Linked DNA regions of Arabidopsis thaliana. The protein of the gene in region 1 purifies or fractionates together with the protein of each later gene. This does not show direct contact. Each region holds a gene or a part of one and is shown in the gene's direction. Other genes may lie near its edges. The genes, in order: NOL and CAB2.

Evidence for each region.
Region 2: the proteins of NOL (region 1) and CAB2 purify together in Arabidopsis thaliana (affinity purification with western blotting, with the first as the bait; one study listed by BioGRID). This does not show direct contact.

The regions. Positions count from the first base shown.
Region 1 is NC_003076.8:1,433,024-1,438,187, forward strand, and holds NOL (NYC1-like protein), read left to right. Parts: upstream 1-1,750; 5' UTR 1,751-1,802; coding exon 1,803-2,070; intron 2,071-2,189; coding exon 2,190-2,258; intron 2,259-2,389; coding exon 2,390-2,448; intron 2,449-2,544; coding exon 2,545-2,631; intron 2,632-2,769; coding exon 2,770-2,837; intron 2,838-2,924; coding exon 2,925-2,973; intron 2,974-3,060; coding exon 3,061-3,146; intron 3,147-3,252; coding exon 3,253-3,310; intron 3,311-3,395; coding exon 3,396-3,446; intron 3,447-3,634; coding exon 3,635-3,685; intron 3,686-3,760; coding exon 3,761-3,802; intron 3,803-3,899; coding exon 3,900-4,010; intron 4,011-4,123; coding exon 4,124-4,171; 3' UTR 4,172-4,472; downstream 4,473-5,164. Other genes in the region: ABO6 (DEA(D/H)-box RNA helicase family protein), read left to right, coding at 18-326, 418-477, 576-728, 823-933, 1,014-1,493; AT5G04910 (DNA repair REX1-B protein), read left to right, coding at 4,672-4,871, 5,109-5,164. UniProt on the Arabidopsis thaliana protein: Required for chlorophyll b degradation. Chlorophyll b, chlorophyllide b, pheophorbide b and pheophytin b can be used as substrates. Belongs to the chlorophyll catabolic enzymes (CCEs).
Region 2 is NC_003070.9:10,473,977-10,477,950, reverse strand, and holds CAB2 (chlorophyll A/B-binding protein 2), read left to right. Parts: upstream 1-1,981; 5' UTR 1,982-2,058; coding exon 2,059-2,862; 3' UTR 2,863-3,295; downstream 3,296-3,974.

The DNA.
Region 1 (5,164 bases):
TCCTTGTTTTATTTTAGTTAGCTTTATCAGCCAAGTTGAGATTCTCAGCCAAAGACTACAGTGACCATATGGCACTCGTTCGTGCCTTTGAAGGGTGGAAAGATGCTGAAAGAGAAGGATCGGCTTATGAGTTTTGTTGGAGGAATTTCCTGTCAGCTCAGACGCTTCAGGCGATACATTCTCTGAGGAAGCAGTTCAACTATATTTTGAAAGAAGCTGGCTTAGTTCATGATGATTTAGCTCTCAACAACAAGCTAAGTCACAACCAGTCTCTGGTTCGTGCTGTCATTTGCTCTGGCCTATTCCCTGGAATAGCATCTGTTGTGGTAAGTCTAAGACCCATGTCTCTGGCTAAGTCTCCTTTCTCGTGTCAGAGATTTCGGTGAAATAACCTTGTTGTCCTTTTTCTTTGCACAGCACAGAGAGACTTCCATGTCATTCAAGACAATGGATGATGGCCAAGTATCACTATACGCGGTGAGCCTCTTCATTCGTATTTCCCAACATCATTACTTGAGTCTCTCGATATGGCCATCTTTTTTATTTAAATGGTTTTTACGGTTTCTATGTTTCAGAATTCTGTTAATTCGCGGTTCCCAACAATTCCATACCCTTGGCTAGTCTTTGGAGAGAAAGTAAAGGTCAATGCGGTACTCATACGGGACTCCACTGGTGTCCCTGATTCCAGTTTGATCCTTTTTGGTGGTTCATTGAGCACGGGAGTACAGGTGATTTCTCTCATTTTCCTCTTTTTAACCCTTACACTAGTCAGATTATGGAATACTCCGGAATCGAATGGATTGAATGTTGTGTTGTTTCCAGGTGGGACATCTAAAAATGCTTGACGGGTACATTGATTTCTTCATGGATCCAAATTTGGCTGAGTCCTATGTAAAGCTGAAGGAAGAACTCGATAAGCTTCTTCAAAAAAAGGCGAGTTTTTTTCAATTTTAAAAGGAAAAAGTGTTCGTAGTGCAGCACTTTAACACCTTTAGTATCTTTACGATTTGCAGCTTGAAGATCCAAGCATGGACATCCACAAAGAAGGCAAGTACCTCATGCTTGCAGTTCAAGAACTTGTGGCTGGAGACCAATGCGAAGGCAGATTTGTCTTTGGCCGTGACACAAAGAGGCCAAGCCAACCGCAAATAGGAGAGAACAAACACTCCAAAGACGGGACAAACCCGAAGAGTCTCCTTCAGACACTTTTGATGAGAGCTGGACACTCACCTCCAAAGTACAAGACAAAACATCTCAAGACAAACGAATTCAGAGCACTTGTGGAGTTTAAAGGAATGCAGTTCGTTGGGAAGCCTCAGAGGAATAAAACGCTCGCTGAGAAAGATGCTGCTGTTGAGGCCTTAGCTTGGTTGACTCATACCTCTGATAATAGTACTGGCCAACACAATGAGGATGCAGATTCTCCACCTGATGTTACTGATAACATGCTTAAACTCCTTGGAGGACGGCGCAGGCGATCCAAGGGCAAGTAATTGAATCTCTGTAGGTTTTTTCGCAGACAGATTTGGTTTGTGTAACTGTGCTTTGGACGATCTCAAATACCAACCAAAGCAGATAGAGAAATTATACTTCAGTAGTCACTATGTAACTATAGTGTCGTTTTTGGGGCAGAACAATAGTGTAGGGTTATAAACATAAAATCTAGAAACTTTAGGGGCTATGATGTATTTTGAACAATAATTGGGGTTATTATCATCTTATATGCCGCCACGTGGCATTTAACTCTCTCTGAGCTTGCTCGCTTACGCAACTCTCTCTCTCTCTCTCTTTGAGCTTCTGTAATGGCTACTTGGAGTGGTTTCAACGTCTCTTCTTCTCCGTTGCTTAGGCTTCGGTCTTCCTCCGTCTCAAATGTCACTAAGCTTCCGTTTCTCTCTCCTATTTGCCGGCGTCGGTTACTGGCAGAACGCTTTGGTCTCGCAACTGTCGTTGTTACGCGCCAAAACCTCACGGTTACTCCGTCGTCTGCGGCGGTGGAAGCTCGTATCTCAGGGAAAAGAGAACCTATGACGCCTCCGTATAACATATTGATCACTGGCTCAACCAAAGGTTTCATTCACTCTGTCTTTGTCAATTGACTCGAGTTTTTAATCTTCAGAAGGGAAAAAACATATTTTTTTATCTCATTGTGTCTCTAAAGAGTGGTTTTTGATTTATTGATTGTTCAGGTATAGGATATGCATTAGCTAGAGAGTTTCTGAAAGCAGGCGACAATGTTGTGATTTGCTCTAGATCAGGTTAGAACCTGTCCCCATTGTTGTCTTGAACTCCTTTTCTAGAGTTTGTGTGTCTGTAAGGAAACATGCAAGCAAGTAATAGAACCAATCTTCAGTAGAATTTTGCTGTTATGGCTGTTCCTGTCTTGCAGCTGAACGAGTTGAGACTGCTGTTCAGAGTCTTAAGGAAGAATTTGGGGAGCATGTGTGGGTACCGCCTTCTTTTACTGTTCTTTTCCATTCGTGTGGTCTTCCAAGGTTTTTGCTTTATGTGCATTGATATCATGAAACCATTTTCTCTTAGTAGGGAACTAAGTGTGATGTTACGGAAGGGAAGGATGTGAGGGAACTTGTAGCTTATAGTCAGAAGAATCTTAAATACATTGACATTTGGGTACACTCTCAAAACTATGAAGAACGTTCATTTGTTGGTGACATCTGTGTTAATGTTGTTCAGAGTATTTTACTATGTTTTCTTTTCAATTTTGTAACCATAGAAATAGTCTTATAATACCATCTTGAGATGATACAGATAAATAATGCGGGATCTAATGCATATAGCTTTAAACCTTTGGCAGAGGCCTCAGATGAGGATCTTATGTAAGTCTTGTGTTAAGCTTGATCCTTCTCTTCGTTAGTTTCTATGTGATTGGTTTCAGTCATTTACTTTTTGAAATCTTTATGCAGTGAAGTTGTGAAAACCAACACTCTAGGTCTCATGTTATGTTGCCGAGAGGTAGTCAAAGATGTTATAAGGAGATGAATTCAGCGTGTCTTTTGTTATTATCAGTTGGATTTACTGACATGTGTTCATGATTATTAGGCAATGAATATGATGTTGACCCAATCTCGAGGTGGTCATATCTTCAATATTGATGGAGCTGGTTCAGATGGGAGACCAACACCCAGGTTTGCTAGATTCATTAAAGTTTCTTGGGAACATGCTTTAGTAAATCTCCTTTAGGCTCTCTTCTCTGTACTGTCTAATAGCATTTTTTTGATTAACGTTTGACAGATTTGCTGCATATGGTGCAACTAAACGGAGTGTCGTTCACCTGACAAAGTCATTACAGGTAATGCCAGAGTTATATCTGTTGAACTCTTCTTCGTTTTCCCTTCTCCTTATATGACTTCTCTAGTAATTCCTGTCTTTCATAGGCAGAGTTGCAGATGCAAGATGTCAAAAATGTCGTGGTGCATAATCTATCGGTATGAATACAATATATTGCTTCATTTCATTTTTGGTTGTTTTTAGTGTCTTCCTAAATACACTGATACAGACATGCGCATAGAGATGAATAGAATGGATGGATTATAGTTATTTGAACAATTTGAATGAATTCAGGATCTAAACATGATCATAATTCTAATGTGTTTTCTCTGGATTATTGTTGCAGCCTGGAATGGTCACAACTGATCTGCTCATGTCCGGAGCAACTACAAAACAAGTTCGATGACTTAACACTGAGGAAATATTTAGATTCCATTTCAAGAGATTCTCTCTAATACGTTCTCTATTGCAGGCCAAGTTCTTCATTAATGTTTTGGCAGAGCCAGCCGAAGTGGTAAGAACCCATTAACTCTTAATTCTTTTTAGCACAACAATTTGACACGATCTCTAATCTCTAGCCCCATGATTCATGATCACACATTCGTTTGCAGGTGGCTGAGTACCTTGTCCCAAACATAAGGGCAATACCGGCTAGCGGATCTATGAAGCCGACTTACATCCGTTTCCTAACTGGAATCAAAGCCTACACCAAAATATTCTCAGTTAAGACGATTAATAGCTCTGCGTAGAAGTAAATCAAAGCATGTAAACTATTTCTGCAAATTACTTAACCAATTTGTTTTTTTCTTTGTCAAATTTTGGGAATTTGTTTCAGAGAGTTGCGTTGGGAGCAAGGAAGAACAGGTATGTTACTGAAGAGTAGGTGTCAAACTAAGTATTAGAATTGTATTGCTTTCTCAGTTTGTTCAATGGTAAATAAAAACCTCTACATTTTGTTCATGACAACTCCAAAACATGCAATCTATTGTACAATTTGGATTTAAGCTCATTTGCAAAAATGTGAGATTTCTCAGTTAATGATTGAAGTGATGATTTAAAAGTCAGTTTTTTTTTTCCAACCATAATAATTTATAGGCACTATTTTGAGAATCAGACCAGATTTGTCGAGACTGGGATCCAAATGCCTGTGGTCTAGTTTACAATTTAACAAGCAGCAAAAATGTCATTCCAAACCAATCAAACCGGGTAAAACCGAAGAACCGCCTCAACCGGACTTGATATCAAAGCGATTAAAATCAAATTACGGTTCAATTTAGTAAAATCGACTAAACCGGTTAGTTCGCAACTTTCTCTTTGCTTCTTCGTCTCTCTCTCTCTGTCGTGTTTGAGAAGACGAAAAGAGTCGGAGAGAAAGATCGGACGATGAGTGCCGAAGATTTCCAGAAGAAGGTTTCCCTCAGAGATTCCCTCTCCGGCGATATTGAGAACGAATGCGGCGGTTCCGGTGTCGGGTCTACTAGTTCGACGGTGGGCTCCGGCGTCGCCTCTCAAACCCTGGTCCTGCTTCGGAGTCTGTTGGAGATTCAGCAGCGCCGAGCTCAGGCTTACGCCAATCTCAAAAGGTTCGATTGATTCATTGGAAATCTCTCAAAGAGTTAGTTTATTTGTTGCGGTTTTGTTAAGTTCCAATTGATCCATTGCCTGAGAGTTAGACTTTGTTGGTGAATGTTGAAATTGAGGCAAATAGTGTGAAGGATAGAGAGGGAGATGTTTTTTATATTCGTAGATTTCCATGTTTTTGTTACTGAGATCTTCCTCTATTAATCTGAGCTGACTATGTTTTCGAATTCAATTATCAGTGGATTCTCAGAGTATGTGGAGTCTGGTGCTGAAGCACTTTATCAGAAGCTGTGCA
Region 2 (3,974 bases), on another chromosome or scaffold:
CTTATCTTGAAATATCAATCTCTGAGGTTGCTATTGGCTAGTCATAGATTTTTTTTGGGGTTTAGATTGTTTGTTTGCTTACGTGGTTAATGGCTCGCACTTCGCAGATTCGCAATTGATATGTGTTTTAGATATCTAGGTGCGTTTCATGGATTGGCGAAACACCCACTCATGACGTGACACGTATACGAATAGATCTCTCTATCCTTATGAAATCCTGAGAGCATCAATGTAAACCAAAACAAAAAAAATTTGGATAATTGCCTTGTATAATACATTTTATTAAACCTTTTGTATATATGCTTCTTTTTTTTTTCTTCTTCTGATAATAATAATAACTCTTGGCTAGAGATAAAACATAAGAACAAAGTAGATAAAACTATAAAATTTATGTATGGAAATAAGATTATCTAAAACTACGGAATTGAATCAAACTTTACCACAGAAACATAAGAAATTATTACCATCTTAATTAGCACCTGTATTGACCATAATATTTTATTAGAAGAAGAAGAAAACATTGGAATCCACCAGATCAAGGTGATGGTCAGGGTCATAAGACAGCTCCATAATCACGAGTCATGGTCATAGACTCATAGCCACAAGTCTGCTTCTCCCTTACCAATACCAACGGCTTCAACAACGGCCACAACTAATAAGCCAATTCCAACGGCCACCATATAACTGAACCGGATATTCACCAAACCCATTTCAACCGGAAATTGATCCACAAGTAATTAAAAATGTTCTGACCAAATGTGGAATAGGTGGGAAAATGTTGAAGTAAAGGCCAATTCTATAATGTGAGAGGAAAACTCTTTTTTGAGCTTCAGGAATATTTTCTTAGACCTGACCTTGAATCTATATTTTGTAGTTCTTCAATGATTTGATTTCTCTATTCATTTCCTTATAAATTAAATTACTTGTGAAATGAATTTCTGTTTAGAAAAACCTTGAACTTCCTAGTTGACCAAAGGATTAGAAAATCTTTCTAAGTGGAGTGTCTCCTAATAATGGATCAAAAGTGTTTGGAGCAAAAAAGAACGCATAGTGTATTAGTGTTAACAGCTTTTATAGTTCAAAGTTTAGAATGTGCTCTAAAGCATATGTGTGAGCCTGTGAGGTCTAGTGATTGTAAAAAAGAAAAATTGTGCTTCGTGGAAAGTGATGCAATAAACAACACTTCTAGGGCTGAGTAAAACCAACTAGACATGTAATGATAGCTTAAACCGTTTTCTATAGGAGTGTGATTGAGGAGTAATTTGTTGATGAATTCGGAAAAAGCGAATAAATAAGTTTGTTCAAAAGGTTGTTGAAGTTTACAATAAAGATAACTTGAATCATGATAAGAAAAAAAGTAGCTATATGTTCTCTAAAGTCTAAACCCATGATGATGAACATGCCATATGAATTAATATAGTTCTTTCATGTTCTTAGAAATGGTCGATAAGTTAAAACAGTGTTTCATTAATCGTTGTGTTTCTTCGATAAAGAGTAAAACGTCAAAGTTTTAAGGTGATATCACATAATTCATGAGATTATTTTGGTTATTGGATAAAGTGACGATGAAATCGATTCATAATTGAAATTAAACTGGTAGTGATGATGAACTAATTACCATTGAAAATATTGATATTTATGTGTGGGTAAATGCTTTTTATAATGTTACTTTATATTAATGTTTCGATCATCAGAATCTATATTTTCAAAATGTTATACTTTAAGTTTTAGTTATTGGGTTGTAGCAAAAATCATTCTTGTCACGAGGGTGTAAGTAAGTGTAACCGTTGAAGTATTCAGTGGCTCATAACTTGTGGTCACAAAACGCTTGGCTGCAATGAAAAAATCAAAACAAATGCTGGTGGACTAGAGATTGCCACGTAAGACTACTAAACGATAAAACAAAAATCTTAAAATCCAATGAATGAACAGATAAAGATTACTTCAGATATAACAAACGTTACAATATCCCTATATAATCCAACACTATCGAACCAGTTTTAATCACTCTCACTCACAAGTTAGTCATAAAAAAAAAAAAAACACAAAAAAGTTTCAATGGCCGCCTCAACAATGGCTCTCTCCTCCCCTGCTTTCGCCGGAAAGGCTGTGAACCTTTCCCCTGCGGCATCAGAAGTCCTTGGAAGCGGCCGTGTGACAATGAGGAAGACTGTTGCCAAGCCAAAGGGTCCATCAGGCAGCCCATGGTACGGATCCGACCGAGTCAAGTACTTGGGTCCATTCTCTGGCGAGTCACCCAGCTACCTTACCGGAGAGTTCCCTGGAGACTACGGATGGGACACAGCTGGTCTATCCGCTGACCCCGAGACATTCGCAAGGAACCGTGAGCTAGAAGTTATCCACAGCAGGTGGGCCATGCTCGGAGCCCTAGGCTGCGTCTTCCCTGAGCTTTTGGCCAGGAACGGAGTCAAGTTTGGAGAGGCAGTTTGGTTCAAGGCTGGTTCACAGATCTTCAGCGATGGAGGGCTCGATTACTTGGGAAACCCTAGCTTGGTTCACGCTCAGAGCATTTTGGCCATTTGGGCCACACAAGTTATTTTGATGGGAGCCGTTGAAGGTTACAGAGTCGCAGGAAATGGGCCATTGGGAGAGGCCGAGGACTTGCTTTACCCCGGTGGCAGTTTCGACCCATTGGGTTTGGCTACCGACCCAGAGGCCTTCGCTGAGTTGAAGGTAAAGGAGCTCAAGAACGGAAGATTGGCTATGTTCTCTATGTTTGGATTCTTCGTTCAAGCCATCGTCACTGGTAAGGGACCGATAGAGAACCTTGCTGACCATTTGGCCGATCCAGTCAACAACAACGCTTGGGCCTTTGCCACCAACTTTGTTCCCGGAAAGTGAGCCAAGTTCTATCTGTTTGTAATTTACTTTTCTTTCAATCTTTTGAATTCGAGTGAGAGACAGGAGGAGAAAGAGTAGGTTTGTGTTTGTGGTGGATGGTAGAGACTTTCAGATGTAAATTTGCAAAGACTTTGTATGATTTGTCATTAATCAAATAACTCATTGTTCTCTAAATATGTTTCGTAGAACTATAATTGAATTGGATTTTCAGTTCTTGGGTTCACTCCGTTGTAGAGGCTATTTCTACAATCGAGCAACGTGATTGAACATATTAAGGCAATGGGTACAAAGATTATGTTCTTTTCAAATCAAGAGAAAATGTGATTCTCGGATGTTAGCTTGAACAACACGAAAGAGTCTTTTATATAAGTTTTTTATATTCCCTTGATTTAACTTGTATATCGTCTCTTCACAAAATATGATCGCATTGAAGAAGAAATTGCAATCGTTTTTTTTCTTCTGATTGAGAGAATTAGAGAATAGATAATGAAGTAGTTTCTTCCGTGTTTGGTTGATTCTGAAGCTCGTAACATTGGCTCATACGATATCTGGATAACAATATATCACATTGCTCTGATACCATATTAAAATCACATCCACGCATTGAATGGACTGATCATATATCTTACATATTAGTTAAAATCCATTGTCGTGCGAGAGATTGCCTTCCGTGACATCCTCTGTGGACCAGGTTCGCTTGTCACACTAGCTATAATTGGTGAACACATGATAACATATATGTTTGGAGCATAGAAGAGCTAGCGCCTGTGTCATTGGTGTGTGGTATCGAAAGAACAAGAGAATAGAACAGGAGAACATGAATATAGCTAGGTTTATTCATTTTCACCCCAAAGCTTAGAAATTGCGTTCCAAAGAGTGGGTGAATTCATGTGTGAGGGCAATTAGTGATTGTAAAAATAAAATTGTGTTTTGTAAAAAACTTTTACTGTCGAAATTATTTAGGGTGATGAAAAAATCAGTAAACTACGAATGATAGCTTAAAGAGTTTCTATCAAAGTGATTGAGGAATAGTTTGTTGCAAATTAAACCTCTAACAAAATGTTTTCTGTTGTGGTTTTTCATCTCTACAAATTTTGAATTTTATGATGAAT